4 linked regions of the Anolis sagrei genome follow. The protein of the gene in region 2 binds, or shares a complex with, the protein of the main gene of each other region. Links are inferred from orthologs where the notes say so. Each region holds a gene or a part of one and is shown on either strand. Other genes may lie near its edges.

Region 1 (6,914 bases), on a different chromosome or scaffold from region 2:
TGCCTCCCTTTCCCATTAATTTTCAATCCCAATCGGAAGCTTCCTCTCAAACCAAATCCCCGCCATTAAACCACCTCATTTCCTTCCCCATATTGTATTATTTTCCCCCCATTCCCAACCGAAATCTTTATATTTTCAACCTCAATCCGAAACTTGGTTTCAATCCGAATCCCTTCCATTAAACCGTGCCTCTTTTTCTTCCCTATATTATATTATTTTCCCCAAATCGGAGGCTTCATTTCGACCCAAATCCCTTCCCTTAAACTACCTCCCTATGTCCCCCCCCCTCCAAATTATCTCAACCCGAATCCCTTCCTTATTATTTCCAACCAGGAGCTTTCTTCTCGACTGAAATACACGCCTCTATGCGATTTGCAATCCCAATCGGAAGCTTTTTCCCAACCCCAAATCCCTTTTTGTATTTCCCCAAATCCCTTCTCATATTTTCCCTTCCCTTCTTAAATTTTCCCCAACCCCAAATCCCTTCTTTCCCCAAACCCCTTGTATTTTCCCTTCCCCAACCCCATTATCTCCTTATATTTTCCCTTCCCCAACTCCATTCCCTTCTCATATTTTCCCAACCCAATTCCCTTCTTATATTTTCCCTCCCCCAACCGCAACCCCATTCCCTTCATAAATTTTTCCTTCCCCAACCCCATTCCCTTCTATTTTCCCTTCCCCAACCGCAAACCCATTCCCTTCTTATATTTTCCCTTCCCCAACCCCATTCCCTTCTAATATCCCCCTTCCCAATCCGAATCCCTTCCCTCCTTTTCTTACTACATCCTCCCTCTTCTTCCCCTTCTTTCTCCCCCAAAACAAGCCGCCTTGGTGGAGAAACCAACCTCTGGGGCGCCTCCGCAAAGAAAGAAAGAAAGAAAGGGAAGAAGAAGAAGAAGGGAGAAGCCGAAGCCAGGGCTGCTGCTGCCTTCGCCGCCGCTCAAAAGGAAGGAAGGACGAACCCGCCTCGTTGTGGCAAAAGCGAAAAGGGGAGGAGGAGGAGCAGCAGCAGCAGCAGGAGCCGGAGAGAGGAGCCGCTGCAGCAAGAGCCCCATCGGAGCCGCGGCTGGAGGAAGGGGGGCGGCGGGAGGGAGAGGAGAGGAGAGGAGGCGAGGAGAGAGAGAAAGAGGAGAGAGCAGCGAGGCAGGCAGCCATGAAGGAAGAAGGCATGGCCGGCGGAAGGGCTGCGAAGCTAGGCCTACCGAGGGGAGGCGCTCCCCGGGGGGATCTGGGCGAGGAAAGGCCGCGAGGGTGGCTCCCGCTACCCTCGCGGCCTTTCCTCGCCCAGATCCCCCCGGGGAGCGCCTCCCCTCGTGCACCCATTGGGAAGAAAACACCCCAAACCAATAAGCACCCATTGGCGTTGCTTTCTTTGCACAGAAAAGGCACAATAGGGTGGCCTTCACTTCCAAAATACATTTAAGGATTCCCTTTTTAGTCGGGGGTCAAAATAAACAAAAACGGGGAGGATTTAGACTTTACAAAGGGGGGAAAATTGGGGGTTCGGTTTCTCTTTTGATACCGAAAAAAGGGGAAGATTTGGACTTTGTAGGGGGATGATTAAGTGGGGGAAATTGGGGGTTCGGTCTCTTTTGACACCGCCAAAGGGGAAGATTTAGACTTTATAGAGGGAGGGTAAAGGGGGGAATTTGGGGGGGGGGGTTCAGTCTCTTGACACCGCAAAAAGGGGAAGATTTAGACTATAGGGGGAGGATTAACGGGAGGAAATTGGGGGTTCAGTCTCTCATTTGACACCGCAAAAAGGGGAAGATTTGGACTTTATAGGGGGTGGATTTAGGCTCCATAAAGGAGGGAAGATTTAGACTTTATAGGGGGAGGATAAAGGGGGGAAATTGGGGGTTCAGTCTCTCTTTCGACACAACAAAAAGGGGAATATTTAGACTTTATAGGGGAAGGATAAAGGAGGGAAAATTGGGGGTTCAGTCTCTATTTTGACACCGGCAAAGGGGAGAATTTAGACTTTATAGGGGAGGATTTAGGCTCCATAAAGGGGGGGGATATTTAGACTATAGGGGGAGGATAAAGGGGCGAAATTGTGGGTTCGGTCTCTTTTTGCCACCGCCAAAGGGGAAAATTTAGACTTTATAGGGGGTGGATTTAGGCTCCATAAAGGTGGGGAAAGGGGGAATATTTAGACTTTATAGGGGGAGGATTTAGGCTCTGAAAAGGGGGGAATATTTAGATTTTATAGGGGGAGGATTTAGGCTCTATAAAGAGGGGAAATTAGGAGTTCAGTCTCTCTTTGACACCACAAAAAGGGAAGATTTTAGACTTTATATTAGGGAAGAATAGAAGCGATTCAGTCCCTTTGCCAAAGAAGAGCCTTTCTTCCATGGCCGCCACTCGTGGCCCTTCTCTTTCCTGCTTTCGGCAGCCGCGTGGCAAAAAAACCCCCGACTTTCGAATCAATATATCCCCAAAAGTAAAGAACGGGTTGTGTTTTTCTTCCCCAGTTTGCTTACCGTTGCTGCAAGAGCCTCTCCTGCCTGTTTTCCCTTCTTGTTTGCTTGCAGCTGCTGCAAGAACCTCGCCTGCCTTGCCTTCCCCTTCCCTTCTTCTCGCCTGCTTGCTTCCTCCGGAGCGGCAACAAAAGCGCCTCCTTCCTTCTCTCTCTCTCCCTCCCTCTCCCTCCCCAGATGGCGGTGCTCACCCTCGGCTCAATGGCGAGCCAAGCCCCGGCTGCAGGAAAGAGAGGGAGAGAGGAGGAGGAGGAAGCAGGAGTAGCAGCAGCAGCAAGCAGAGGCTCTCCTCCTCCTCCACTTCGGATCGTGCCTTCCTCTCTCCCTCTTTCCCCCTCCCCTCCTCGCCCACCCACTCCTCGCCTTTGCCGCGGGGGGAAACATCTCCCCAGACAGACCGACCCCCCTATTCGTCCCCTGGCCTTCTTACCTGCTTCTCGGGGAAAAGGCAGCAGAGAGAGGCTCGTTGTTTCCGGAGGAGCGCGGGTTGACTGCACGCCAGCTCTGCAGCGCTGGCCCCGGGCGTGGACTCCTCGCTCCCGTCCCCGCAGAGAGAGCTGGCGCGGCTTTCCCCCGCCTCCATCGCGCTCGCTGTTGCTGCTGCTGCTGCCTCTGCCTCCTCTCTCTCTCTCTCTCTCCCTCCTCTCTCTCTCTTCCAATCCGGATCCTTCAGGCCAGAGCTGCTCCTGCTTCCCTTCCTCCTTCTTCTCCTTCTCCTCCAAGGCAGGACCCATCTTGGCTGCTTCCTCCCCGCCTCCTCTCTCTTCCCTCTCTGTGCTCTTCTGTCCGCCTTTCCTTTTTGCTTCTCTCTTGTGTTTTTATTGCTCTTTTGCTTGTGCAACACTGTTGTACTCCAACCAGAAGGGAGGGGGGAAAAGAGAGAGAGAGAAAGAAGGAAGGGAGGAGGAGGAGGAGGGGGCCAAGCCCTACATTTGCCACAAATCCTCTCCTCTTCTCCGTCTCTTCTTCCTTTTGGCGGGGATCACAAATCACACACGCACTGCAGTCGGGTTTTTAATTCCTCCTGAGACCTCCCCCTTTTTTCTCTCTTTCTCTTTTCAAAAGGAAAGAGAGATAGAAAAAGATCCGTTTCTATGATGCCCAAAGCAAACCATTCTTTTCTGCCACTGCGGACATGTTTTTTTTTGCAACTGAGCCATCTTTTTTTTTTAAAGGGTCCCTCTTTTGTTTGACTTGTAAACAACTAGTAAGAAAAAAAACAAACCCAAAAGGGACACTCCTCTTTTGATTTTTTTGTGGAGGGGGAAAAAAAATTAATAATCATGACGTTTTTCCAAAGCCAAAAAGGCAAGCTTGTCTTTTTTTCCCCTCCTCCCTCCTCGTTTCTGTCTCTCTCTTTTTTAAATTTTTTTTTTTTTTTTACTTTCCGAGCTCCACCTTTGTTGTTAAGGGCGTCATCTCCGGCTCCAGCCAATCCTCGGCTTTGGGAGCTGTCTGTCAAATTAACGCCGCTTCCAATGCGCAAAAGCGACTCTTTGACGCGCAGACGAAGACGCCATTAGGTGTATTTTTTATGGTGAGAGGTAGGCGGGTTCAGCCAGATCTATGCAGTCCTCTTCCCCCGCCTTAAAGTAATAATCATAAATAGTATGGGATTCCATTGCCTTTATTTTCTGCTCCGATTTGTAAATAGAAGAAGATTTAGACCATGACCATACAGCCCGAAAAAACCTACAACAACCCAGTGATTCCGGCCATGAAAGCCTTCGACAATACATAGAAGAAGATTGTCTATAGGCCCTCCCAGACAGGCCTTCAGTCCCAGGTTTTCTGCTTTAAATTGGATTATGTTGTTGTTGTTCATTCGTTCAGTCGTCTCCGACTCCTCGTGACCTCATGGACCAGTCCACGCCAGAGCTCCCTGTCGGCCGTCACCACCCCCAGCTCCCTCAAGGTCAGTCCAGTCACTTCAAGGATGCCATCCATCTTGCCCTTGGTCGGCCCCTCTTCCTTTTGCCTTCCACTTTCCCCAGCATAATTGTCTTCTCTAGGCTTTGCTGTCTCCTCATGATGTGGCCAAAGTACTTCAACTTTGTCTCTAGTATCCTTCCCTCCAATGAGCAGCCGGGCTTTATTTCCTGGAGGATGGACTGGTTGGATCTTCTCGCAGTCCAAGGCACTCTCAGAACTTTCCTCCAACACCACAGCTCAAAAGCATCGATTTTCCTTCGCTCAGCCTTCCCTAAGGTCCAGCTCTCACATCCGTAGGTGACTACAGGGAATACCATGGCTTTGACTAGGCGGATCTTTGTTGCCAGTCTGATGTCTCTACTCTTTACTATTTTATCGAGACTGGACATTGCTCTCCTCCCAAGAAGTAAGCGTCTTCTGATTTCCTGGCCACAATCTGCATCTGCAGTCATCTTTGCACTTAGATTATATTAAATTGGATTATACTACCTTCGTTACTTGGGTTTGGATGGGAATCTTATCAATCTTCTTCTATCTTCTATATCAGGGGTCCTCAAACTAAGGCCCAGTGGCTGGATGTAGCCCTCCAAGGTCATTTACCTGGCCCTCGCTCAGGGTCTACCTAAGTCTGAAGTGACTTGAAAGCACACAACAACAATTATCCTATCACAACAGCCAAAAGCAGGCCCACACTTCCCATTGAAATACTAATAAGTTTATAGTTGTTAAAATTGTTCATTTTAATGTATTGTTTTTAAGTGGGGTTTTTTTTGCACAACAAATAAGATATGTGCAGTGTGCATAGGAATTCATTCATGTTTTTTTCAAATTATAATCCGGCCCTCCAACATTTTGTGGGACCATGACCTGGCCCTCTGTTTAAAAAGTTTGAGGACCCCTGTTCTATATAAATAAAAATATAATATTCGTTTGTGGGATTAACAGAACTCAAAAACCAGTGGGCGAATTGACACCAAATTTGGACACAAGACACCTAACAATCCAATGTATGTCCTTCACTCAAAAAAATTGATTTTGTCTTTTGGGAGTTGTAGTTGCTGGGATTTATAGTTCACCTACAATCGCATGATAAAACTGAACCAACCGGGTCATACAGGACTCCCATGACCAACAGAAAACACTAGAAGGGTTTGGTGAGCATTGACCTTGAGTTTGGAAGTTGTAGTTCACCTACATCCAGAGAGCACTGTGTATTCAAACAATGATGGATCTGGACCAAATTTGCCACGAATATTCCATATGCCGAAATGTGAACACAGATGGAGTTTGGGGGAAATAGACGTTGACATTTGGGAGTTGTACTTACTGGGATTTATAGTTCACCTACAATCAAAGAGCATTCTGAACCCCACCAACGACATAACTGGGGCAAACTTCCCACACAGAACCCCCATACTTGAGGTTATCCAGTCCAAGTCCCTTCACCAGGGCAAGAAAACGTAAATCAAGACCCTCCTGACATTTTTATTTATATAGATGATTCACACACAGAGATTTAAGGCGCTCCATTGGCTGCCGTTTACCTACCAAACCCAATTCAAGGTGCAGGTGCTTACCTACAAAGCCCTAAACGGTTTGGGACCTGCCTACCTGCGTGACCGCATCTCCGTGTATGAACCCACACGATCCCTTCGTTCATCCAGAGAGGCCCTGCTTATGATCCCACCTGCATCACAGGCATGTTTGGTGGGGACGAGGGACAGGGCCTTCTCTGGTTGCCCCTTGACTCTGGAACACCCTCCCCAAAGACATTAGACTAACTAGCACCCACGTTGGCAGTCTTCAGGAAGAATCTGAAGACCTGGCTATTCCGATGTGCCTTTCTGGAATAGGATAATCTCCAGCACTACGTCCCAGAAGCACTTTATTAGAGTTTAAGACTCTCTGCACATTGCACTTGCCCGGAAATCCAAATACCACCTGCCAGACCCAGCACTTTTTAACTTGTACCCATCACTGGCCTGGCCCTGGTTTTTATTGCATAATTGATGTATTGTTTTTATTGCTTATGTTTTTATTTTGCTTTAAATTGTACTGTTATTGTTTTGCTGTTGTTGTGTTGAGGCCTTGGCCTTTGTAAGCCGTATCGAGTCCTGCGGGCGATGCTAGCGGGGTACAAATAAAGTTTAATAATAATAATAATATGTAATTTCTTTATACTTGTGGGTAAACAGTATTTCTTATTAGGTTCTTGTGGGTTTTTTCGGGCTATAGGGCCATGTTCTAGAGGCATTTCTCCTGACGTTTCGCCTGCATCTATGGCAAGCATCCTCAGAGGTAGTGAGGTCTGTTGGAATTAGGACAATGGGTTTATATATCTGTGGAATGGCTGGAGTGGGGCAAAGAGCTCTTCCCTGCTGGAGCTAGGTGTGAATACACCTATCAGGCCAACGAGTGACCTTCACTCATAAAAACACTGAAAAACACTGCAGAAAGGGCTTAAAAAGTTAAAAAATCAGAGCTCAGCTTTCATTTCTTATA
Region 2 (7,685 bases):
AGTATGATGCCACCTATTTGTTTTGTGGGGAAGAAAGGATGATGGGAACAAGAGGGAAGTGGATGTTGGCCCATTTAAGGTACATGACCCCACTTTGCAACCCAGGTCCTTTTAAAGTTGGAGGGATGGAGCCCTAAAACACCCCATTGTGCTCTCCCAATTTAAGAGAAAAAATGGGCCACAGTAGCGCAGTGGTTAAAATTGCTAGCTCCAGAAAATCTGCTGTCCAGAGGGTTAGAAGTTCAAAGCTGCGAGTCAGGGTGAGCTCCCAGTTGTGAGCCCTAGCTTCTGCCTACCTAGCTGTTCAGAAGCATGTAATGCGAGTAGATCAATAGGTACTACCTCTGCAGGGAGGTAAAAGGGTGCCCCATGCAGACATGCTGGCAGCATCAGAGAAAGTCTATGGACAATAGGCTCCTCAGTATGGAAAAATGGAACAAGAGCACCTCCCCATGGCTGAAGATGAGCATCACCTCCAGATGCCGGAGATGGAAAGAGGGAGGCCTTTACTTCTGTCTGTGTTTTGCATGTTGTTTGTTCACTATGTAAAAAGGCATTGAATGTTTGCCTTATATATGTAAAACTGTAATCCTCTCTGAGTCCCTCTGGGGAAATAAAGCAGAATATAAATAAAGTGTATTATTATTATTATTATTATTACATGCCGAAATATCAAATATTCGACCAAGATTTAATTCTTCATGTAAAAATAAACAAATGCACCCATCTCATTAGTATGTATGTTCGCTTTCATCTTAAATAAATGGTAACATTATATGTAAACCAAAGAGTTGTTTTAAAATAAATTTCTTTCAATAAACATTTGCTTTCTATATCTATTTTATATACCTATATATCTGGGGTCATGTAAAAAAAAGTTCAGGGGAAAAGGGGCTGCAAGTGGGAAAACTTTAAAGAGCTCTGGCCTTGTCCATGCTTGTATTGTGCCTTCATCATGCCTCATGAATTCTATAGGGCTTTCTTGGGAAAGGAATACTAAAGATAGTTTTGCTGGTTCCTTCCTCTGAAATAGAGACTAAAGCATCTAGTATTTGTTGGTGGTACTTCCGTCCAAGTACTAACCAGGGCTGAGCCTGCTTAGCTTCCAAGATTTGATGGGACAGACTGGATGTGTTTTGATAATCTCCCAACTGAGATTAGCTTTGAGGAGAAAAGTATACTTTAAAAAGGCACAGCTTTTTTTTTCCAGAGTTGGTGCCACCTTGTGGCATTATTCAAATAAATGGCAAAAACTTCAGTCTGAAGCACTGAATACACTTTTTAGGGAATATGACTGACAAAAATGCACAAAACTTTTGATATGCAGGAGGAGGTAATGTTCACTTGTAGCAATCTGCCAAGAGAGATGGAAAGTGATAGGAAGCAAAGTGATAGACAGGAATGGAATGGTAGCCAGGCCTGAGAATGCAGTGATTTGAATGGTTTGTTAATAATACCTGTATCTTATCCTAATAACACATTGGTTCTTAAACAATTGGGCCCAACCTCAAATGTGGTCCCCTGAGCTCAATGCTGGAGTGCCCCCCCCCCTGCAAATGGCAACAGTAAAAGTCTTTCTGAATGCCATTTACATGAATCTGTTGTGCAGTGTTTACAGTAGTCTCTGCAGAAGATGCTTCAGCTGTACTTCATAAAAAGGAAACCCAGCATGTTTAGCCAACCTTGCAAATCCCAATTTTCTACCAGTACATTTTTGATGTTTATACCAATTTTGTATACCTATATATCTGGGGTCACATAAAATATGACTGGGCTAAAAGGGGTCTCCTAGGTGCAAAAGTTTAAGAAGCCCTGCTATAACATAAAGTCCCCAGGGAGAGTGAGGCCCCTTCTACACTGCCATATAAAATCCAGATTATCTGCTTTGAACTGGATTATATAGCAGTGGAGAAGAGGCCTGAGGCTGGATCTACACTGCCCTATATTCCAGGATCTTATCTCAGATGATCTGCTTTGAACTGGATTATATGAGTCTACACCGCCAGATAACCTGGGATAAGCAGATAATCTGTGATACAGGGCAGTGTAGATCCAACCAGAGAAGTAGAGAGAAAGATTGAGACAAAGTGTCTCTAGATTGGTTCCACAAAATGTGTGACTGAATGCCTCTTTACATCTGTTGATTGTACAGTAGGGTCTTGCCATTCACTGGGTTTTGGATACCAAAATCCATGGGTGTACAAGTCCCATTACACTATTTTTGTTCGTGGATTATAAATGTCATTTTCTAATTGGTTCTATCATAAGATCGTGGAAAAGGTTTATTAAACTTCGTTTTTTGCGGGACATCCTGCAACACATCTTGCTATAGTTTTTCAATTTCTCATCAAATCTCAACCAATTCAACACAGTTCGTGGCAGTCACAAAAAACGAAGTTTCTGGACTATGACAACTACTTTCAAGTAAGTACTGTACTATTAAACAGGAAACACTTTCAAACCAGAAACAGATTTTTTTTTTAAAAAAATGTTACATAGTGTTATATACAATGTCATGGTGAAATGTCACTTGCCTAAAATGGCAAAAACAAAACTTGCTTCTGCCTTTGTTTGTGTTTATGTGTCTCATTGTATATGATTGTAAATGCATTGACTATTTGCCTATGTTTGCCTGCTACTAAGAAGGATAATAATAATAATAATAATAATAATAATAATAATGGCTGTGATGGTCTGGATGAGGGCGAACAAGTTGAAACTGAATCCAGACAAGACAGGTCCTCCTGGTCAGTTGCAAGGCTGAATAGGGCATAGGGTTACAGCCTGTGTTGGACGGGGATACACGGGGGATTGCAGGTTCGCAGCTTGGGAGTGATCCTAGATTCATCACTGAGTGTGGAACCCCAGGTCTTGGCGGTGACCAGGAGAGCATTTGCACAGTTAAAACTTGTGTACCAGTTGTACCCATACCTTAGGAAGTCTGATTTAGCCACGGTAATCCACCCTCTGGCTACATCCCGTATAGACTACTGCAATGCTCTCTACATGGGGTTGCATTTGAAGACTGTTCAGAAACTTCAAATGGTCCAGCATGCGGCAGCCAGGTTGTTAACAGGAGCAGCACTCCCCTGATGCAACCCCCCTGTTGCATCAGCTCCACTGGCTGCCAGTCTGCTACCGGGCACAATTCAAAGTGCTGGCTTTAGCCTATTAAACCCTAAATGGTTTTGGCCCAGCTTACCTATCCAAATGTATCACTCCTTATGAACCATCTAGGACTCTAAGATCATCTGGGGAGACCCTGCTCTCGGTCCCGCCTTCGTCACAAATTTGGTTGTCGGGGACGAGGGACAGGGCCTTCTCAGCAGTGGCCCCTTGGCTGTGGAACACCCTCCCTAGGGATATCAGATCGGCCCCACCCTCCTATAATTTCGCAAAAAAGTTAAAACTTGACCTTTTGAGCAAGCATTTCCAAATGCAGTGTAGCAGACAACTCTGATCTACGGAACGACAATGCAATTGGATAATTATTTATATATCGTGTCAGGAGCAAACCAAAACAGTTGTATTGCATTAAACACAAACAAACAAACAAACAACACACAAAGTTTGCATACTTGGTATTCTACTGGATAATGATTGGATAATGATTTTAGTAATGAGATGCTGAGGATTTTGGTTTTTATTGGTTTTTACTATTTATGCCAAATGTTTTTAATTGTTTTATGTTGTTGGGGGCATCGAATTGTGCCGTTTGTAAACTGCCCTGAGTCGCCCTCGGGCTGAGAAAGGTGGTATATAAATATGGTAAATCAATCAATCAATAAATGTAGATGCTGTAATCTGCTCTGAGTCCTCTAGGGGAGAAGGGCGAAATATAAATAAAGTGTATGATGAGTCCTCTAGGGGTGTATGATAGTTATTATTGCTTTTGAGATTTTGTTTTAGTGTGGAGGGGGGAATATTTTAAATTTATGTTTGGCTGGATCCGTGGAAACAGAACCCGTGGATACAGAGATCTGACTGTCTACAAAAATAAAAAGAACTGGGTTGTTGTAGGTTTTTTTGGGTTATATGGCCATGTTCTAGAGGCATTTTCTCCTGACGTTTCGCCTGCATCTATGGCAAGCATCCTCAGAGGTAGTGAAAAGTAGGAAAATGGGTTTATATATCTGTGGAATGACTGGGGTGGGACAGAGGACTCTTGTCTGCTGGAGCTAGGTGTGAATGTTTCAACTGACCCCCTTAATTAGCATTTGATGTCTGTTGGAACTAGGAAAAGGGGGTTTATATATCTGTGGAATGACCAGGGTGGGACAAAGGACTCTTGTCCACTGGAGCTAGGTGTGAATGTTTCAACTGACCACCTTGATTAGCATTTGATGGCTTGGCAGTGCCTGGGGGAATCTTTTGTTGAGAGTAAACAATCAGGCACATCTAATCAGCTCTCAACAAAAGATTCCCCCAGGCACTGTCAAGCCATCAAATGCTAATTAAGGTGGTCAGTTAAAACAATACAATAAAAAAGAACATTTGAATCCCGATTATTTGGAGAAAGGAGAATCAAGACGGAGGGGAAGAAGACATTGAGTGTGTTCAAAGGGACAGAATACTAAACTAAATAATCAAACGTGCTAAGCTCCCATAGAACTGGCTACACTGTATCTCCGCTTTGAAACAGAGCGGAAGTGCTCATGGAGTGGAGGCGCTCTAGCTCAAGTTCCCTCCGAGCTCGTCTCTCCGAGAAAGGAAGTGAGTTCTGCCTGTGAACCCACGTGGAGCACCTGGATTAGAGTCGGTAAGAATCAGGGCTGTTCATTAGATTAGGCTCAGAGCTTACTTAAGATTTTTTGCTTTTTAGGTGTGCATCTACACTTGGGATTTGAAGTTTGGTGAGACACCAGCTCTTAAGGCAGGCATGGACAAACTTGGGCCCTCCAGGTGTTTTGGACTTCAACTCCCACAATTCCTAACAGCCTACGGCTGTTAGGAATTGTGGGAGTTGAAGTCCAAAACACCTGGAGGGCCCAAGTTTGCCCATGCATTCTCTAATCCCAATGCTGTATATACAATGGCATAGTTGCTTATATAAAATAGTAAAATCAGGGCTCTTGCTTTTTAAATTATGTGTGTGTGTGTTGGTGCCATGTGTTGTTGTGGCCCAGTCTAGTGATCTGGAAAACAAAGTAATGAGAAAGTGTTGGTTTCTAATATATAACTAGCCGTCCCCTGCCACGCGTTGCTGTGGCCCACATGGGTGTTCTGTGTGGGAGGTTTGGCCCAATTCTATCGTTGGTGGGGTTCAGAATGCTCTGTGATTGTAGGTGAACTATAAATCCCGGCAAATGTCAAGATTCCATTTTCCCCAAACTTTACCAGTATTCACATTTGGGCATATTGAGTATTCTTGTAGAGTTGTGGATCCATCATTGCTTGAGTCCACAGTGATCTCTGGATGTAGGTGAACTACAACTCCAAAACCAAAGGACACTGCCCACCAAACCCTTCCAGTATTTTCTGTTGGTCATGGGAGAACTGTGTGTCGTTTGGTTCAATACCATCGTTGGTGGGGTTCAGAATGTTCTTTGATTGTAGGTGAACTATAAATCCCAGCAACTAGAACTCCCAAATGTCAAAATCATATTTTTTTTTTTAGTGAAGGACATACATTGGGTTGTTAGGTGTCTTGTGTCCAAATTTGGTGTCAATTCCCCCAGTGGTTTTTGAGTTCTATGAATATCAAAAACGAACATTACATTTTTATTTATATAGATAATGATGTAATTTCTTTATGCTTGCAGGTAAATAGTATTTCTTGTTGTTTCTTTGTCAGTGTTGATTGTCTGGTTTGCCTACTCTGAAACATGCAACATATAATTGTTCTTCTTTAGGGACCTTTTGAAAATCTATGATACAATATCTGTCATATACATATGTCTCTGTGTGTATAGAATCATAGAATCATAGAGTTGGAAGAGACCTCATGGGCCATCCAGTCCAACCTCCTGCCAAGAAGCAGGAATATTGCATTCAAAGCACCCCTGACAGATGGCCATCCAGCCTCTGCTTAAAAGCTCCCAAAGAAGGAGCCTCCACCACACTCCGGGGCAGAGAGTTCCACTGCTGAACGGCTCTCACAGTCAGGAAGTTCTTCCTAATGTTCAGATGTGGAACCCTAACCCTAACCCTCAGCTCAGGAAGCTGGGGAAGTTGGATGGCTCTTTGTCAGGAGGGCTTTGATTATGTTTTCTTGCCCTGGTGAAGGTTGTTGGACTAGATGGCCTTAACACAGCATTTCTCAACCTGGGGGTTGGGACCCCTTGGGTGGGTCGTCAGGGGGCGTCAGAAGGATTGCCAAAGACCACCAAAAAACACAGTATTTTCTGTTGGTCATGGGGGTTCTGTGTGGGAAGTTTGGCCCAATTCTATCGTTGCTGGGGTTCAGAATGCTATTTGGTTATAGATGAACTATAAATTCCAGTAACTACAACTCAAGGTCTATTTACCCAAACTCCATCTGTGTTCACATTTAGGCATATGGATTATTCGTGCCAAATTTAGTCTAGATCCTTCATTATTTGAGTCCACAGTGTTCTCTGAATGTAGGTGAACTACAACTCCAAAACTCAAGGTCAATACCCACCAAACCCTTCTCGTGTTTCCTGTTGGACATGGGAGTCCTGTGTGCCAAGTTTGGTTCAATTCCATCGTTGGGAGAGGTCAAAATGCTCTTTGATTGTAGGTTAACTATAAATCCCAGGAACTACAACTTCCAAATGACAAGATTAATTTTTTAGTGATGCTCACTCCTTGGATTAGTAGGTAACTTGTGACCAAATTTGCTGGCAATTAGTCCAGCGGTTTTTGAGTTGTGATGTTACTCAAAACGAACATAGCCTTTATAAATAGATAGATAGATAGATAGATAGATAGATAGATAGATAGATCGATAGATTCAAGTCATGTATAGTTGAATCTGTTGATGTGGGCTCTCTGGATACAGAGGGATTCTAATCGCACAGGAATTATAATTAAAGGATGCTCAACCTATACATCTTCCCTCTCCTACAGTCTGTCTTCTCCTTGGTCAATATGGAACAGAATAGTTCCTGCTTTGAGTCAGAACTAGATTTCTGTCCTGAATGTGGTACAGTCCTTCCATTACCAGGTCTTCAGGATAAGGTGGCATGTCGCTATTGCGCCTTCTTCATTGATGTGCAAGGTAAGGGCTTTCTGCCTCTAGAATATTCCATAACCGGAGGTGGGGTATTTAGTAAACATGTTTTTTAAAAATGGGTGAGTTAGAGTACATATGCTTCTTATCTACACATGTGTTTATTAACTTCACAGAATTTGAAAAGAGAGTTATTGATACATCAGTCACCTTCAACAGGACAGATACCACATCTTCGGAAGTGGATGGAGGAAAAGCAGTCAAAGGACCACTGGTGAGTGAATGGGGAAGTGAAATGAGTAATTATAATGCTAATAATTTCATGTGTCTATAGCAAAACATATGAAATCCTATTTCCTTTTATCATGGCTGGAGAACCTGTGGCCATTTAGACTGTAGTTTCCATCAACCGTAGCCAGCTTGATCAGTGATGATGGATGATAGAAGAAGTCTTTGATCAATATTTGGGGGTGCCACAAGTTCCCCATTGTGCTTTATTCCAAAGGGAGAACAAGATGTGTCAAAAGGACTGGTGGTGTAGTGCCATGTA
Region 3 (7,624 bases), on a different chromosome or scaffold from region 2:
ATTCTTCCACTACAGCTGGGCTTCTTCTTAGCCATGACACCTTCTGCATTGTTATTATACATACAAGCATAAAAATTAAGCCCATGTACTAGAAAGAATGAATAAAATTCATCCACAAAACCCAGAAACGATTTGTGTATTCTTACCAACAAGATGGTGACCAGGTGTTCAAAATCCTTGGTCAAATGTGTCACAGAAGACCTGAATTCATGCAACCAGTTAATAATCTGGTCATCCTTAAAACAGAAACAATTTCATTTAATAACTCAATGTGGCAAACATGTGTAGAAATTATAAAGTGACAAGCATTACAAGTCTGTTTAGATCAATACTCTAAAATATGGTTAGGGAATGTTTGAATGAATCAGATTACTGATAAGAATTATAAACAACATGTCCAAGTCAGAACAGGCAAAAGTGATTGAAACATTTCATTATCTTAAATGTAAGAAATCATTAAATCGCTGAACACTACCTAAAACTCTGATGGAAAAAAAACTTACTTTAATGTCAGGATCCAACAGCTGATGCCTCAACAAATCAAAATCAATGGTATCTCCCTAAGAAGAGAAAAACAGCAAGGAGTAACCTGACAACATATTCTATGTCTCACAAGGGGTGACGTCGAGAAACTTATCTAAACATGTACAATAAAGATGGAACAATTAACTCTGGTTTTGCTATTTGATTTCTTATGAATAACTTATATATACTATCCAAGGCCAAACTTCCCAGACAAAAAGGTGACCCTTCAATTTGCACATCAGAACAGCAACACTTATGATTAATAATTGGGTACAGTAATGTTACCTTTTCATATTTGAGCAGGATTTCTGCCAACGATCCACCAAATCTGACTGTTTTCCTTGGTGGCGATCTCAGAAATTCATCTGTAGACAGCATGTTAGAAAGTCTAAACAACAAATGAAATCATAAGATGAAATATGCAAGCTATATTTAAAGCCAATGTGGTATAGTAGTTTGAATGTTGAATTATGGCTTGGGAGACCAAGGTCTGACTCCTGGATTAGCCAGGGAAGCCCACGGCTTGTCCTTGAACAACAGAGAAAGGCAGTGACAAAGACCTTCTGGGCAAATATTGCCAGGAAACCATATGAAAGAGGTTTGCCTTCGAGTTGCCGTAAGTCAAACTTGAGTTTGGAGGCACACAAGACAGTATTCATGTTAACCCAAGAGGTCAGGTCATCACAATTCTTGCATTCCTGAAAACTGTGCTGTTTATTTGCTCCTCTTGACTCCATCCCAAGCAAGGACACTAATTAGAAAGTAAAAACTTCCCATGACATAGACAGCATAGAACATGGTTTTACTGCAGCTTTTAGTCGCTTTGAGTCCCCTTCGGGAGAGATATAGAAGGGTATAAATAAACATAATAATAATAATAATAATAATAATAATAATAATACCGGCCAAGATCATAAAAACAGAATCCTGACTAGTTTGGGAGCAAAGGACAGAAAAGTGGCTTCAAGTATCATGAACTGCTTCCATTTGTTTTTATATTGTTTACTCTCTCTAGTATTCGTACAAGAAGTGAAAGTCACCGCAGTGCATATTAGTCCCTTACTGTGACTAGGATCACAGGAATCTTTGCTTCGCCTTGGACAGGGATGTGGCACTAAGGCCCCATCTATGCAGTCGTAGCTGTATTATATGACGGTATAGATGGGGCCTCCATTAGCACTTGGATTCTTTTGAGAGACATCTACGTTTCCATCACATGTGAAAGCTCCATGTAATCAATTAGTTTTCTATCCCATTCTCGGTCCAGACTTCCCATCTTTCAATAAATTCCTTTCTGTGGTGTTATTTCACTCACATAAATGCTGACCACTAGTTTCCAAAATCAATTTCTAACATCTAACCACTTTATACTGGGGCCCTATCTATACTTAAACCAGTTTCAAGCTGGTATTAAAGGAAGAGGTTTCGTTGTGCAGATGGTTACACAGGAAATACTGAAACTAGTTTGAGGCTTGGAGAGTGATGACCCAAACCCCAGAGCACTAAGGCACTGGAACAGCTTTCTTTCAGTTGTGAACCAACTTGGACACAGCATATTATTTGAGAACACAGATATGCTAGACCACTCTAATAACGAACATGTCAGACTACACAGATAAGCCACTGAAATCCAGAAGCATGTGGACAATTTCAACAGAAAGGAGGAAACCATTAAAATGAACAAACTCTGGCTACCAGCATTAAAAATCTCTAAAATTAAGACAGTAAATAAAGAACAACACTCAGAAAATTGGGGAATTCCAGACAAGAAACAATCAGGGCCAGCTAACACCTCCCAACAAAGGATTCCCCCAGGCATCAACCAGCCAGGCTTTGAAGCTGCAAGACCGTTCAATACTAATCAAGGTGGCCAATTGAAACATTCACAGTTTCCTCCGACAGACAAGAGTTCTTTCTTCCAACCCGGACATTCCACAGATATATAAACCTCGCCTAGTTTCCTCTGAGGATGCCTGCCATAGATATGGGCGGAACGTCAGGAGAGAATGCTGCTGGAACATTGCCAAACAGCCCGGAAAATTCACAGCAACTCAGTGATTCCGGCCATGAACGCCTTCAACAACACAGTTCTGATACCCTTTCACATACTGGAAAATTGCATAATAAGAACTTACGCTTTAATGTTATTGAACAGTTATTCACAACAGTCGTCGTCTTCCAAGGCCGTGCCCTGCCCAAGAGTGCTGGCGGCTCAAGAAGCTGCCAATCCCCCTGACTCCCCACACAGCACTCAGACATGGCTCCCATGGCTCACTGAGACGTGCCGAACTGCGTGTAGTATACAGTGAGGATGCCCCTAGGACCCGGCCCAACTCACCCTGGTTCAGCGGCGCCCTCCTTCGGACTACCACTGCTGAGTAACAAGCCTCCGCCAAGGTCTGAAGCCTCCGAAAGCCTCCGCGGGGTCCATGCTCTTCACGCCCAAGCCGGAAAGGCCTCCACTTCCTGCTCTGTCCCCGGAAGTTGGAAGCAGCGCCTGGTCCGGAGGAGAGCGGACTAGCGCCCCCTGCGGCAAGGCGTGGAACTTCCCCATCATCTCTTCACACTGTGTCTGTGAGATCTGTGCGTGGGCAAACTTCAGACCTCCTAGCATAAGTAAAAAAAGGATTATTATAGGCGGTAGGCTGTTAGGAATTGTAGGAGTTGAAGTCCAAAACACCTAGAAAGCCCAAGTTTGCCCATGCCTGCTATATATGCTTCTATGGATTATTTGGAACAAGATTGAGATTCTTTTACATTCCTTTTCACACATATTTGAATATGCAGCATCAGCTTTAAGTCTGGAGACCTCTACGCATTCATTATCCAGGCGTATGTTCTGCCGAATCCATAAACCAATGCTCATCAACCAAAGACACACCCTTCCCGTGTTGCTCTAACAGTGTTTCTCAACCTTCCTAATGCCGCGACTCCTTAATGCAGTTCCTCATGTTGTGGTGACCCCCAACCATAACATTATTTTTGTTGCTGCTTCATAATTGTAATGTTGCTATTGTTATAAATGTAAATATCTGATATGCAGAATTTATTTTCATTCATTGGACCAAATTAGACAAATACCCGATATGCCCAAATTTGAATACTAGTGGGGTTGGGTGGGATTGATTTTGTCATTTGGGAGTTGTAGTTGCTGTGATTTATACTTCACCTACAATCAAAGAGCATTCTGTACTCCACCAATAATAGAATTGAACCAAAGTTAGCACACAGAACTCCCATGACCAACAGAAAATCCTGGAAGGGTTTGGTGGGCATTGACCTAGAGTTTGGGAGTTGTACTTCACTGTGGACTCAAACAATGATGGATCTGGACCAAACTTGGCACGAATATTCAATATGCCCAAATGTGAACACTGGTGGAATTTGGGGAGAATAGACTTGACATTTAGGAGTTGTAGTTGCTGGGATTTATAGTTCATTACAATCAAAGAGTATTCTGAACCCCACCAATGATAGAATTGGGTCAAACTTCTCACATAGAAGTTTTGTATGGTCTTTGATGACCCCTCTGAAACCCCCTCATGAAACCGCCCAGGGGCCCTGACCTCCAGGTTGAAAAATTTAGAACTGGTGTTTCCAAACTTTGTACAGAGATAGGACCCTTGTTGGCAAGCCTCTTTGTCGTGTTCGGGGTTCATCTCAATTTGTTTTTCCTCATCCAGCCTATTACCTTCTCCATAATAATAATAATAACTGTGGTTTTATTGATCCAGCAAAGTAATCCTCTCCTATGTATCTATCTATTATATGCTTCTGTTATGACAGTGAAGACATCTGCCCTTGCACTTTGCTACTTTGTTGCTGAATACGTAAGTCTAGTGTGGAATACTTCTCACCACGTTAAAACAGTGGATGTGACTCCAACTGAGACATGCCACATTATCACAAAATGTCTACGCCCAACACAGCTGGAGAAATTGTACTATTTAGCTGGTATTGCATCACCTGGCATCTGTCGGGAAGTAGCAGTCAATAATGTAAGGACCAAGGCAGTGACATCTCCAGCCCATCCTCTGTTCAGATATCAGTCAGCACGCCAACGCCTTAAATCAAGAATTAGCTTCCTAAGATCTACAGAGATACTCACAGGAACACCTCAGCAAGTGAGAGTCCAAAAGTGGCAGGCTAAAACCCAGAACCTCAATCAGTGGTTGATACCGGATGAGAAACACCCTCCTTGGCACAGAGAAGACTGGGTGACATGGAAGACGCTGAACAGACTGTGTTCTGGCACCACAAGATGCAGCGCCAACCTTAAGAAATGGGGCTACAAATTGGAGTCCGCAATATGCAAGTGTGGAGATGAGCAAACCACAGACCACTTACTACAATGCAATCTGAGTCCCACCACATGCACAATGGCGGACCTTTTTACAGCAATATCAGAGGTACTCCAAGTGGCCACTAATGGTCAAAGGACATTTATTATAATGCCAAGTTTTTAACTTTGTGGTTTTTAAAATACATTATAACTGTATTCTCAAATCACTTCTGACATAATAAATAAAACATTTGCTTCTATTTAGAACGATATTCGTACATCTACGCTTAAAATACGGGCATCCACATCCTTGGAAGTATTAATATTATTTTCCTCTATACTACTATGGGAAAGGTTTTTAAAAAACATAAATTCTTTTTTATTCAGAATTCAAAGCTATCTTTAATTTCAACCATTTTAATTTAAACAACCAAATAAGTCTTATGTCACGTAAGATACAGGCAGTGGATTCCCCCCCCCCCCCACATATATTTAAAGTATATATATATATATATATTTTAAATATTTGTTAAGCGATGTAGCTCCATAGTCTATGGTTTTTCGGCAAAGAAAGCATTCATTTCTCAACAATATCCCATTTTCCGATGACGAAAACGATGTTCGTATTAATTTTGCACTAAAAGATGCATTTGTCGTGAATATTCCAACCTATATAGCAACCTTTTTGCTAATGCAAAAAGAAAACCTATAAATAAGAAATAAATACATACATAAATACAATAATCATCTTTGGGGAATTAGCTGCCATGTAGAAATGCAACATAAGGCTTCTTAAGTTCAATGGCAAGTCTTGCCAAGTTATCTTTCCTGTCTTGTATCTGAGTGTTTTGAAACGTCTGCATTGCTGTATTTAGAGAAGACAAAAATGGGAACGTTTCACGGGGAGGGAAGGCAGAGGCCTCTTTATCCTATTTAGTTGAGGATAAATTCACGAATGCTTTTTGTTCCAACTGAATTGGCTCCAAATAACCTGGTCTAGAAGACAATATGTATATTTTTTTAAATAACTTGGAAACGGTGACCGACTTGAGGCCACAATTCAAAGTGTAGGAAATATGGGAAATAGATGCGGCCCAGCTGGTACTTTGACAGTTAAAAAACCCACAGCCGCCATTATTGTTCCTCCTTGAAGGGATTCTTATGGCAGCTAGCCTTTTTCTAGGCCGACATGTTCACCAAATCTTTCTCAGGAGTTAGAGATTCAAATCCTTGCTTCAAAAGATGTGGGCCTATCTCAGGCATGGGAAAACTTGGGCCCTCCAGGTGTTTTGGACTTCAACTCCCACAATTCCTAACAGCCTCTGGCCCCTTCCTTTTCCCCCTCAACCGCTTAAGCGGATGAGGGGGAAAAGGAAGGGGCCCGAGACTGTTAGGAATTGTGGGAGTTGAAGTCCAAAACATCTAGAGGGCCCAGGTTTGCCCTTTTGCTTTTTGCATTCTCTTCTTTCTATTCATAAGCCACTTTGTGTGAGGAAAAAGCACGAGCGACCGAAGAAGGGAAGGCCTCGTTGGCTGTGCTAAGGTGGACATCGTCGTTGGAACAAGCAAGCGTGGATGGCGCATCTTCTTCAAAATCTTAGCCTCTTCTGCGACGGCGGGCTACCGGTCACTGTCTCTCCAACGGCAGAGTCAGCCTCAGTCTTCTTGTCAGAGTGGACCGGCTTTGAGTGGAAGGAGCCCGAGAGGTGCCTGCCAAGGGAGCGGACCATGAAACGGACCCGCCAGGCACGGCCTGTCGCTTCGGCCTCCATCGCCGCGGGCATGGCCTCCTCGCCCAAGCCTATGTCATCCTGCAGCTCATCCGGCGGTACCTCAATGTTGCCCACGTACCAGAAGACCCACCAAAGGAGGCTGAAGAGCAGGCCCACGCCCCCGCTGTAGATTAGCAGGTCTGCAAAAAAGACGTCCACGAAGGAACCCAGCAGCAGAAGCGACAGGCCCGCCGCGTCGAAGAGCAGTGCCATCCAGAAGGCCCCACGGCAACGACCTGCCCCGGCAGCCTCCATGATGCCTACTACACAAGGGCTACGGAAGGCCCACAGTCAGGATGGAAGGCCTCTTCGCCGTGTCTCTATGCGGACACAGCCTCTGCACAGACCTCTGAGCGACTGGTCCCAAAGACATCCCAGACTGGGATTATAACACTCTGTAAATACCTAGGACAGTGGTTCTTAACCTTCCTAATGCTGTGGCCCCTTAATACAGTTCCTCAAGTTGTGGTGACCCCCAACCATAATATTATTTTAGTTGCTACTTCATAACTGTAATTTTTCTACTGTTATGAATTGTAATGTCATTATCTGATAGACAGGATGTAGTTTCATTAATTGGACCAAATTTGGCACAAATACCCGATACACCCAAGTTTGAATACTGGTGGGGTTGGGGGGAACTGATTTTGTCATTTGGGAGTTGCTGGGATTTACAGTTAAACTACAAAGAGCATTCTGAAATCCACGAATGATGGAATTGAACCAAACTTGGCACACAGAACTCCCATGATCAACAGAAAATACTGGAAGGGTTTGATGGGCATGGACCTTGAGTTGAGGAGTTATAGTTCACCTCCATCCAGAGAGCACTGTGGGCTCACACAATGATGGATCTGGACCAAACTTGGCACAAATACTCAATATGCCCAATTGTGAACACTGGTGGAGTTTGGAGAAAATAGACCTTGACATTTGTGAGTTGTAGTTGCTGAGATTTATAGTTAACCTACTCAAAGAGCATTCTGAAATCCACCAATGATGGAACTGAGCCAAACTTGGCACACAGAACTCCCATGACCAACAG
Region 4 (6,908 bases), on a different chromosome or scaffold from region 2:
GAAGGATACATCTTTTTGTTCTTTTCTTGTACATTATTCTGTAACCACATTCTCTGCATCTGATAGGATCTCTTGCTTTAATTTCATTTTCTTTGTGACATTCTGAAATGAAGAAAAAGAATTACATTATGAGGCCAATCCTGGAAACCAACTGCAAAAGAACTGAGAATAAAGCAACAGAAGCACTTGACATTTTATAATTTTTAAACATTCTTGTTTAAAAGTACAGATTTTGACTGATTTATTTACTAAAATAGTGGAATTAAGAACCTCTCATCATAGTCTATAAATTTAAGTTCACTGTGATTATGAAAGAATCTTAACATTTCACAAGTTGGAATTTGTTAAAACAATACATTAATATAGGAGTTTTTTAGTATCCTCAATGCAGCTCACACAATATATTTATATACCATGAACTACAGTCTTTGAAACACAAACTAGTATCCTTCCCACAGTGCACTGATAGTACATGGATTTGTAGTAGAGAGTATGCACCAGATAAATGTTAAAGCAAAACAACGCAGCTGCAGTACGCCCAGAAAAGAATACATCTACACACTGTAGAATAAATGTAGTTTGGCACCACTTTAGCTGCCATGACTTAATGCTGTGTGATTTCATTTACCTAAAGACAATTTGGGCCATGATCATAAGCACAATACCCAAATAATAATTTCCCAAATGATTTAGCAGAATAATTCCAGTGAATGAAAGTAGCTGTGCTTCTATTCTGTTTTAATCCTTAAAGGAATTTAGATGAGGAAAGGTAGAAGAAACAAATCTTATTTCTGGAGGATACAAATATAAGACATTGTTGTCTAGAGCTCCCATAAGCTTCCAGAAAGAGGGAGTGCAATTTCAGAGTGAAAATGTATTCTAGAAGTACCCTTGATGTCATTTTCATCTACTTTCTTGGGTCTCATTTTCAGACTTCTTCCTACTACAATGACATTGCACTGGACTCACCTCCACAGATGTATATCATTGGTTGCTGCTTTGGTGGAGGTGCATCAGTCTGGGTGTCCATCTTCTGCTAGTAAAAGGAAGACAACTCATTCATACCAATTACAGCTTTCAAACACATAGAGCGTCCTTCAGCCCTTCAAACATCCTTCAATCTTACTGTTAATGTGTTTACAAAGAAGAAGCCCAGAGAGGGAAATGAGACTCAACATATATGCAAAGAGATCTTGGAGCATCTTAGAGTCTCATTGAAGCCCCTTCCACACAGCTGAATAAAATCCCACATTAACTGATTTGAACAGGGATAAATGGCAGTGTGGACTTAGATAACCCAACTCAAAGTACATATTATGGGTTATATGGCTGTGTGGAAGGGCCCTAAGAGAACAAGGTTGGCATAAACTTTCATGGACTTTCAAGGAATCCATGCATCTGAGGAAGCAGACAATTTGTGAAAATGTATTGTCGAAGGCTTTCATGGCCGGAATCACTGGGTTGTTGTAGGTTTTTTTCGGGCTGTATGGCCATGGTCTAGAGGCCATACAGCCTGAAAAAACCTACAACAACCCAATTTGTGAAAACTTATGGTACACGTTCAGCATTCCTTATATGCAATTCTAAAATCCAAACTGTTTTCAAGGGCAGTTGAAATAACAGTGCCTTTGTTTTCTGCTGGTTCAATATATACAAACTGTCTAAACGGCTTATACGAAACACAAATGAATTTGTATTGTCGAAGGCTTCCATGGCTGGAATCACTGGGTCATTGTAGGTTTTTCGGGCTATATGGCTATGTTCTAGAAGCATTCTCTCCTGATGTTTCACCTGTATCTATGGCAGGCATCCTCAGAGGTTGTGAGGTCTGAACATCATAATCTCTGAGGATGCCTTGGCAGTTAAAGTGGTATCGAACTACATCAATCCTATAATGTAGAGCAGCGTTTCTTCAGCCTGGGGGTCACAGGGGGATGTCAGAGGCAAAATGTCAGGAGAGAATGCTTCTAGAACATGGCCATACAGCCCGAAAAACCTACAACAACCCACAAATGAATTTCATGTTCAGACTTGGGTCCCATCTCTAAGACCCCTTCCACACAGTAGTATAAAATCCACACTGAACTAGATTATATGGCAGCGTGGACTCAAATAATCCAGTTCAAAACAGATATTGTGGGTGATCTGCCTTCATATTCTGGGTTATATGGTCGTGCGGAAGGGCTGAAAGAGATCTTGTTATGTTTGTTGTTGTTCATTTGTTCAGTCGTCTCCGACTCTTCATGACCTCATGGACCAGCCCACGCCAGAGCTCCCTGTCGGCCGTCACCACCCCCAGCTCCTTCAAGGTCTTCTTATGTACACCTATGCAAATACGGACATTCCAAAATCTCCTCCAAAAGATTTCTGGATCCAAACATTTCAAATAAGAGCTATTCAACTGGTATCAATTTCATTTTTGGGGGGTGCATTTACACAGCAGAATTGATGCAGTTTGATACCACTGTTAAATGTCACGACTCCATATAATTGACTCGTGGGAGATGTAGTTTATTAAGGTACCAGCATTATCTTGAAGAGAAAGCTGAAGACCTTATAAAATAACTCCCCTGATGCTATAGTATTGTGCCATGACAGTTAAAAGTGGTGTCAAATTGCTTCAAATCCAGTGTAGACCAGGCATGAGCAAACTTGGGCCCTCCAGGTGTTTTGGACTCCAACTCCCACCATTTCTAACAGCCTCAGGCCCTTTCCTTTTCCCCCTCAGCCGCTTAAGCGGCTTAGGGGGAAAAGGAAGGGGCCTGAGGCTGTTAGGAATGGTGGGAGTTGGAGTCCAAAACACCTAGAGGGTCCAAGTTTGCTCATGCCTGGTGTAGATGCTCTTAAAGTGCTCCAAAGTCCCTTTCAGCCCCGTCTAAACAAAATTCCCATCAACAATCTGATTGAAAACAATGCGCCCTACCAGCTCGTGCACAACTCATGCACTCCTTCCTCTGACGGCGCAGTCTGATGACGTTTGAAAGCTCTGCAAAGGGGAGAGAAACCCTAAGCTCCGCCCCTTCCATTAGGAGTAGTTTTCCAATTCAGACACATGGAGGCGTTTTGAATTTGCTCCTCTCCGATGTTTTCTTAAAGGGACAGGCTGAAAATTAACACTGATTTTCTTTGCCTTGGCAACTTAACCTTTACTAAAGAAGCAGTTGCTTTCTTTGCTTCCTTTCACACAGCTAAATAAAATCCCACATTATCTGCTTTAGCTGGAATATATGGCAGTGTGGACTCAGATAACCCAGTTCAAAGCAGATATTGCCTTGATATTCTGGGTTATATGACTGTTTGGAAGGGCCCTTAATATCAACTACAATTTCACATCAGAGTGAAAGCTTTAGGCTTTTTTAGGTGTATCTACACTATCAAATTAATGCAGTTTGAGACCACTTTAACTGCAATGACTAATTGCTCTGGAATCATGAGGACCGAGCAGTCTGGCAGAGGAGATTAAAGCCCTTGTCGAACTACAACTTCCATGATTTTATTGTGATTTTATTCTGACGACCTGACTTTTGTACTTGTATGATATTGTATGATCTGTATTTTAATGTATTACGATGCTGTTATGTTTACTATATTTGTGTTGACTTTTATTTATTTATTTACTTATTATTTACTTTGCTTATATACCGCTGTTCTCAGCCCGAAGGCAACTCACAGCGGTTCACAATCAATACAAACAGCAATAATTCAATGCAATAATGTAACAATTACCAACTTAACACATTACCCAATCAATAAACAATTACTACAATAACCAATCACTATCGTCTCATCGTCCAAAACATAATCCAGATTCGTCATCCATTGTCCATTCCTATGTACATTGCCAATCATTGCACTAGTTATTCGAACGCCTGCACAAACAGCCAGGTCTTCACTTTTTTGCGGAATACCATTAGAGATGATGCTAGTCTAATGTCGGTAGGAAGGGCGTTCCACAGCCGAGGAGCCACCACCGAGAAGGCCCTATCTCTCGTCCCCGCCAGCCGTGCTTGAGAAGCAGGCGGGATCGAGAGCAGGGCCTCCTCGGAAGATCTCAAAGTCCTGGTAGGTTCATAGGCCGAGATGCGGTTAGATAGGTAGCTTTTCTGCTGTTAGCCGGCCGGAGTCCCTCTTCAGAGGTTGAGAAGACAGGGTTATAAAAGCTCTAAATAAATAATAAATAAATTATTCCCAGTACTGAGCCCTTGGCAGTTAAAGTGGTATCAAACTACATCAATCCTATAGTGTAGAGCAGCGTTTCTCAACCTAGGGGTTGGGACCCCTGGGGGGGGGGGTCACCAAAGACCATCAGAAAACACAGTTTGGTGTGGGAAGTTTGGCCCAGTTCTATCATTGGTGAGGTTCAGAATGCTTTTTGATTGTAGGGGAACTATAAATCCCAGCAACTACAACTCCCAAATGTCAAGGTCCATTTCCCCCAAACTCCACCAGTGTTCACATTTGGGCATATTGAGTATCTGTGCCATGTATGGTCCAGATCCATCATTGTTTGAGTCCACAGTGCTCTCTGGATGTAGGTGAACTACAACTCCAAAACTCAAGGTCAGTGCCCACCAAACCCTTCCAGGATTTTCTGTTGCTCATGGGAGTTATGTCTGCCAAGTTTGGTTCAATTCCATCATTGGTGGAGTTCAGAATGCTCTTTGATTGTAGGTGAACTATAAATCCCAGCAACTACAACTCCGTGGCATTGGACCGTAGTCATTAAAGTTGTGTCAAACCCACCAGCAACACATGGGATATATCTGTATTAAGTGCAGATGAACCCCACATGTTACTGGATTCCAATTTTCAGCTTTCCTCACCATTGGCCCAAAGGAGGGCCAATCACACCTTTAAAAAGAGGAGGAGGTGATTCCCATTCTTATCTAACATATTTGAGAGTATTTTAATTGCTATGGCTCAATGCTATGAAATCATAGGAGTTATAGTTTGATACTGCACTAGCCCTGTGACAGAAAAGGCTGAGGACCTTGGAAAAATATGATTCCCATAAGCCTTGAAAGTTGAAGTGGTATCAGACTGCATTAATTGTACAGTGTAAAACAGGCATGGTCAAACTTTGGCCCTCCAAGTGTTTTGGATTTCAACTCCCACAATTCCTAACAGCACTGGCTGTTAGGTATTGTGAGAGTTGAAGTCCAAAACACCTGGAGGGCCAAAGTTTGCCATGCCTGGTGTAAAGGTAAAGGTAAAGGTATTCCCCTGACATTAAGTCCAGTCATGTCTGACTCTGGGGTGTGGTGCTCATCTCCATTTCTAAGCCGAAGAGCCAGCGTTGTCCGTAGACACCTCCAAGGTCATGTGGCCGGCATGACTGCATGGAGCGCCGTTACCTTCCCGCCGGAGCGGTACCTATTGATCTACTCACATTTGCATGTTTTCGAACTGCTAGGTTGGCAGAAGCTAGGGCTGACAGCGGAAGCTCACGCCGCTCCCCGGAATCGAACCTGCGACCTTTCGATCAACAAGCTCAGCAACTCAGTGCTTTAACCCACTGCGCCACTGGGGGCTCCCCTTAATAAATCACCAATTCTTTGGGTGCATCTGTGTTTTGATAGACACTGGGCTACAATACCTGCATTCCTCCTCTTGAGACATCATGACTAGAGCTGATGGGAACTGTGATACAGTAGCATCTGGAAGGCTGCAATTCGTTCTGTTTAGTTTGGAGAAAAAGGGTTTGAATTTAGATATAAAGCTTATGGATATGATGTCTGACTTGAAAATATCTCTTATCCTTTCCCCAACATGAGAACCAGAAGTGTGTTGGACTGCAATTAAAGGCTGTTAAATGCTAATCATGGTGGCCAACTGCAACATCCGCAGACAAGAGTTCTTTTCCCCACCCTGGACGTTCCACAGATAGATAATCTTCACTTGCCTAGTTTCCAACAGACCCCTCAACCTCTGAGGATGCCTGCCATAGATGTGGGCGAAACGTCAGGAGAGAATGCTTCTGGAACATGGCTATAGAGCCCGGAAAACTCACAGCAACCCAGTGATTCCGGCCATGAAAGCCTTCGACAAACAAAAATGACAATGACTTTGACATTTGTGGATTACATTGTAGGAACAATGTAGCTTGAGGTCACTTTCACTGCCCTGGCTCAGTTCTAAGAAGTGCAGGAAAGCCTCTTGGGCGCTTTGCTGCTGCTGCTGCTGCCTTCTTGGCTGGGCTTTCTTGTTGTGGCTTCCTCTCCTTGGCAGCCAAAGAGGAGGAGGAAGAGGAGGGGAGAAGCCTAATCAGTTGGGAAAGGCGGGTAGTTCAAAATGGAGCGAGGGAAACCCTGAGGAGGAAGGCGCACGAGGGCAGCCGGTTGAAGCAACAGGGAGGAAGAGGAAGAAGAAGAAGAGGAGAAGTGGCTGCTGATGCTTCTTTGCAGAGCTCTCCCTTCTTCTCCGAGGCAACGCTGGGAAGGAGTTCAGCGCTGCTCCTTGGACACCATCCTCTCCCTCCCCGCTTTAAACCCCCCTTCCATTGGGCACACTCTTCCTCCTCCTCCTCCTCTTGCCTCCTTTCAACGCCCTTGTAGTGACTCTCCAGCTGGTTGTGTCATGAGAAGAGTTGTGTCTGTCCCCTTGCCTGCTCCTGAAGGAAGGAAGAACGCACATAGAATGTTACTAGACTCAGTGCTCATTGCTTTTGTGTGAACTCCATGCTTTGCTTCAAATTAACTTATTAATTAGTTAGGATACTACTACTAGTAGTTCTCTTGGGGGGGGGGGGTTATTGGTTTCTTTGTTTTACTTTCCCTCCTCCAATAATAATGAAGCACTTCATTTGAAGCAATTGCTGGTCTTCCAAGTAATTTGGTAAGTTGTCCTGCTTTGAAGGATGGGAATTTCACACAGCCAGCATTTACTAACTCAATGTATTGTGGAAGGCT

The links.
Region 1: POLR1H (region 2) and UBTF share a complex: the UniProt entries of both Homo sapiens proteins name them as parts of the pol I pre-initiation complex. The link is inferred for Anolis sagrei from reciprocal best matches to the Homo sapiens genes POLR1H and UBTF.
Region 3: POLR1H (region 2) and RRN3 share a complex: the UniProt entries of both Homo sapiens proteins name them as parts of the pol I pre-initiation complex. The link is inferred for Anolis sagrei from reciprocal best matches to the Homo sapiens genes POLR1H and RRN3.
Region 4: POLR1H (region 2) and POLR2K share a complex: the UniProt entries of both Homo sapiens proteins name them as parts of the pol I pre-initiation complex. The link is inferred for Anolis sagrei from reciprocal best matches to the Homo sapiens genes POLR1H and POLR2K.

The regions. Positions count from the first base shown.
Region 1 is NC_090026.1:44,541,048-44,547,961, reverse strand, and holds the start of UBTF (nucleolar transcription factor 1), read right to left. Parts: upstream 3,003-6,914; 5' UTR 2,911-3,002; intron 2,615-2,910; exon of another isoform or gene 2,484-2,614; intron 1,033-2,483; exon of another isoform or gene 846-1,032; intron 1-845. UniProt on the Homo sapiens protein: Recognizes the ribosomal RNA gene promoter and activates transcription mediated by RNA polymerase I (Pol I) through cooperative interactions with the transcription factor SL1/TIF-IB complex.
Region 2 is NC_090022.1:23,170,731-23,178,415, forward strand, and holds the start of POLR1H (DNA-directed RNA polymerase I subunit RPA12), read left to right. Parts: upstream 1-4,679; 5' UTR 4,680-4,759; intron 4,760-7,032; 5' UTR 7,033-7,053; coding exon 7,054-7,183; intron 7,184-7,311; coding exon 7,312-7,409; intron 7,410-7,685. UniProt on the Homo sapiens protein: Core component of RNA polymerase I (Pol I), a DNA-dependent RNA polymerase which synthesizes ribosomal RNA precursors using the four ribonucleoside triphosphates as substrates. Can mediate Pol I proofreading of the nascent RNA transcript.
Region 3 is NC_090034.1:24,534,190-24,541,813, reverse strand, and holds the start of RRN3 (RNA polymerase I-specific transcription initiation factor RRN3), read right to left. Parts: upstream 3,013-7,624; 5' UTR 2,864-3,012; intron 914-2,863; 5' UTR 904-913; coding exon 811-903; intron 561-810; coding exon 504-560; intron 237-503; coding exon 147-236; intron 44-146; coding exon 1-43. Other genes in the region: transmembrane protein 238-like, read right to left, coding at 6,397-6,834. UniProt on the Homo sapiens protein: Required for efficient transcription initiation by RNA polymerase I (Pol I). Required for the formation of the competent pre-initiation complex (PIC).
Region 4 is NC_090024.1:31,136,497-31,143,404, forward strand, and holds the start of POLR2K (DNA-directed RNA polymerases I, II, and III subunit RPABC4), read right to left. Parts: upstream 3,003-6,908; 5' UTR 2,924-3,002; intron 1,037-2,923; 5' UTR 1,031-1,036; coding exon 970-1,030; intron 103-969; coding exon 10-102; intron 1-9. UniProt on the Homo sapiens protein: DNA-dependent RNA polymerase catalyzes the transcription of DNA into RNA using the four ribonucleoside triphosphates as substrates.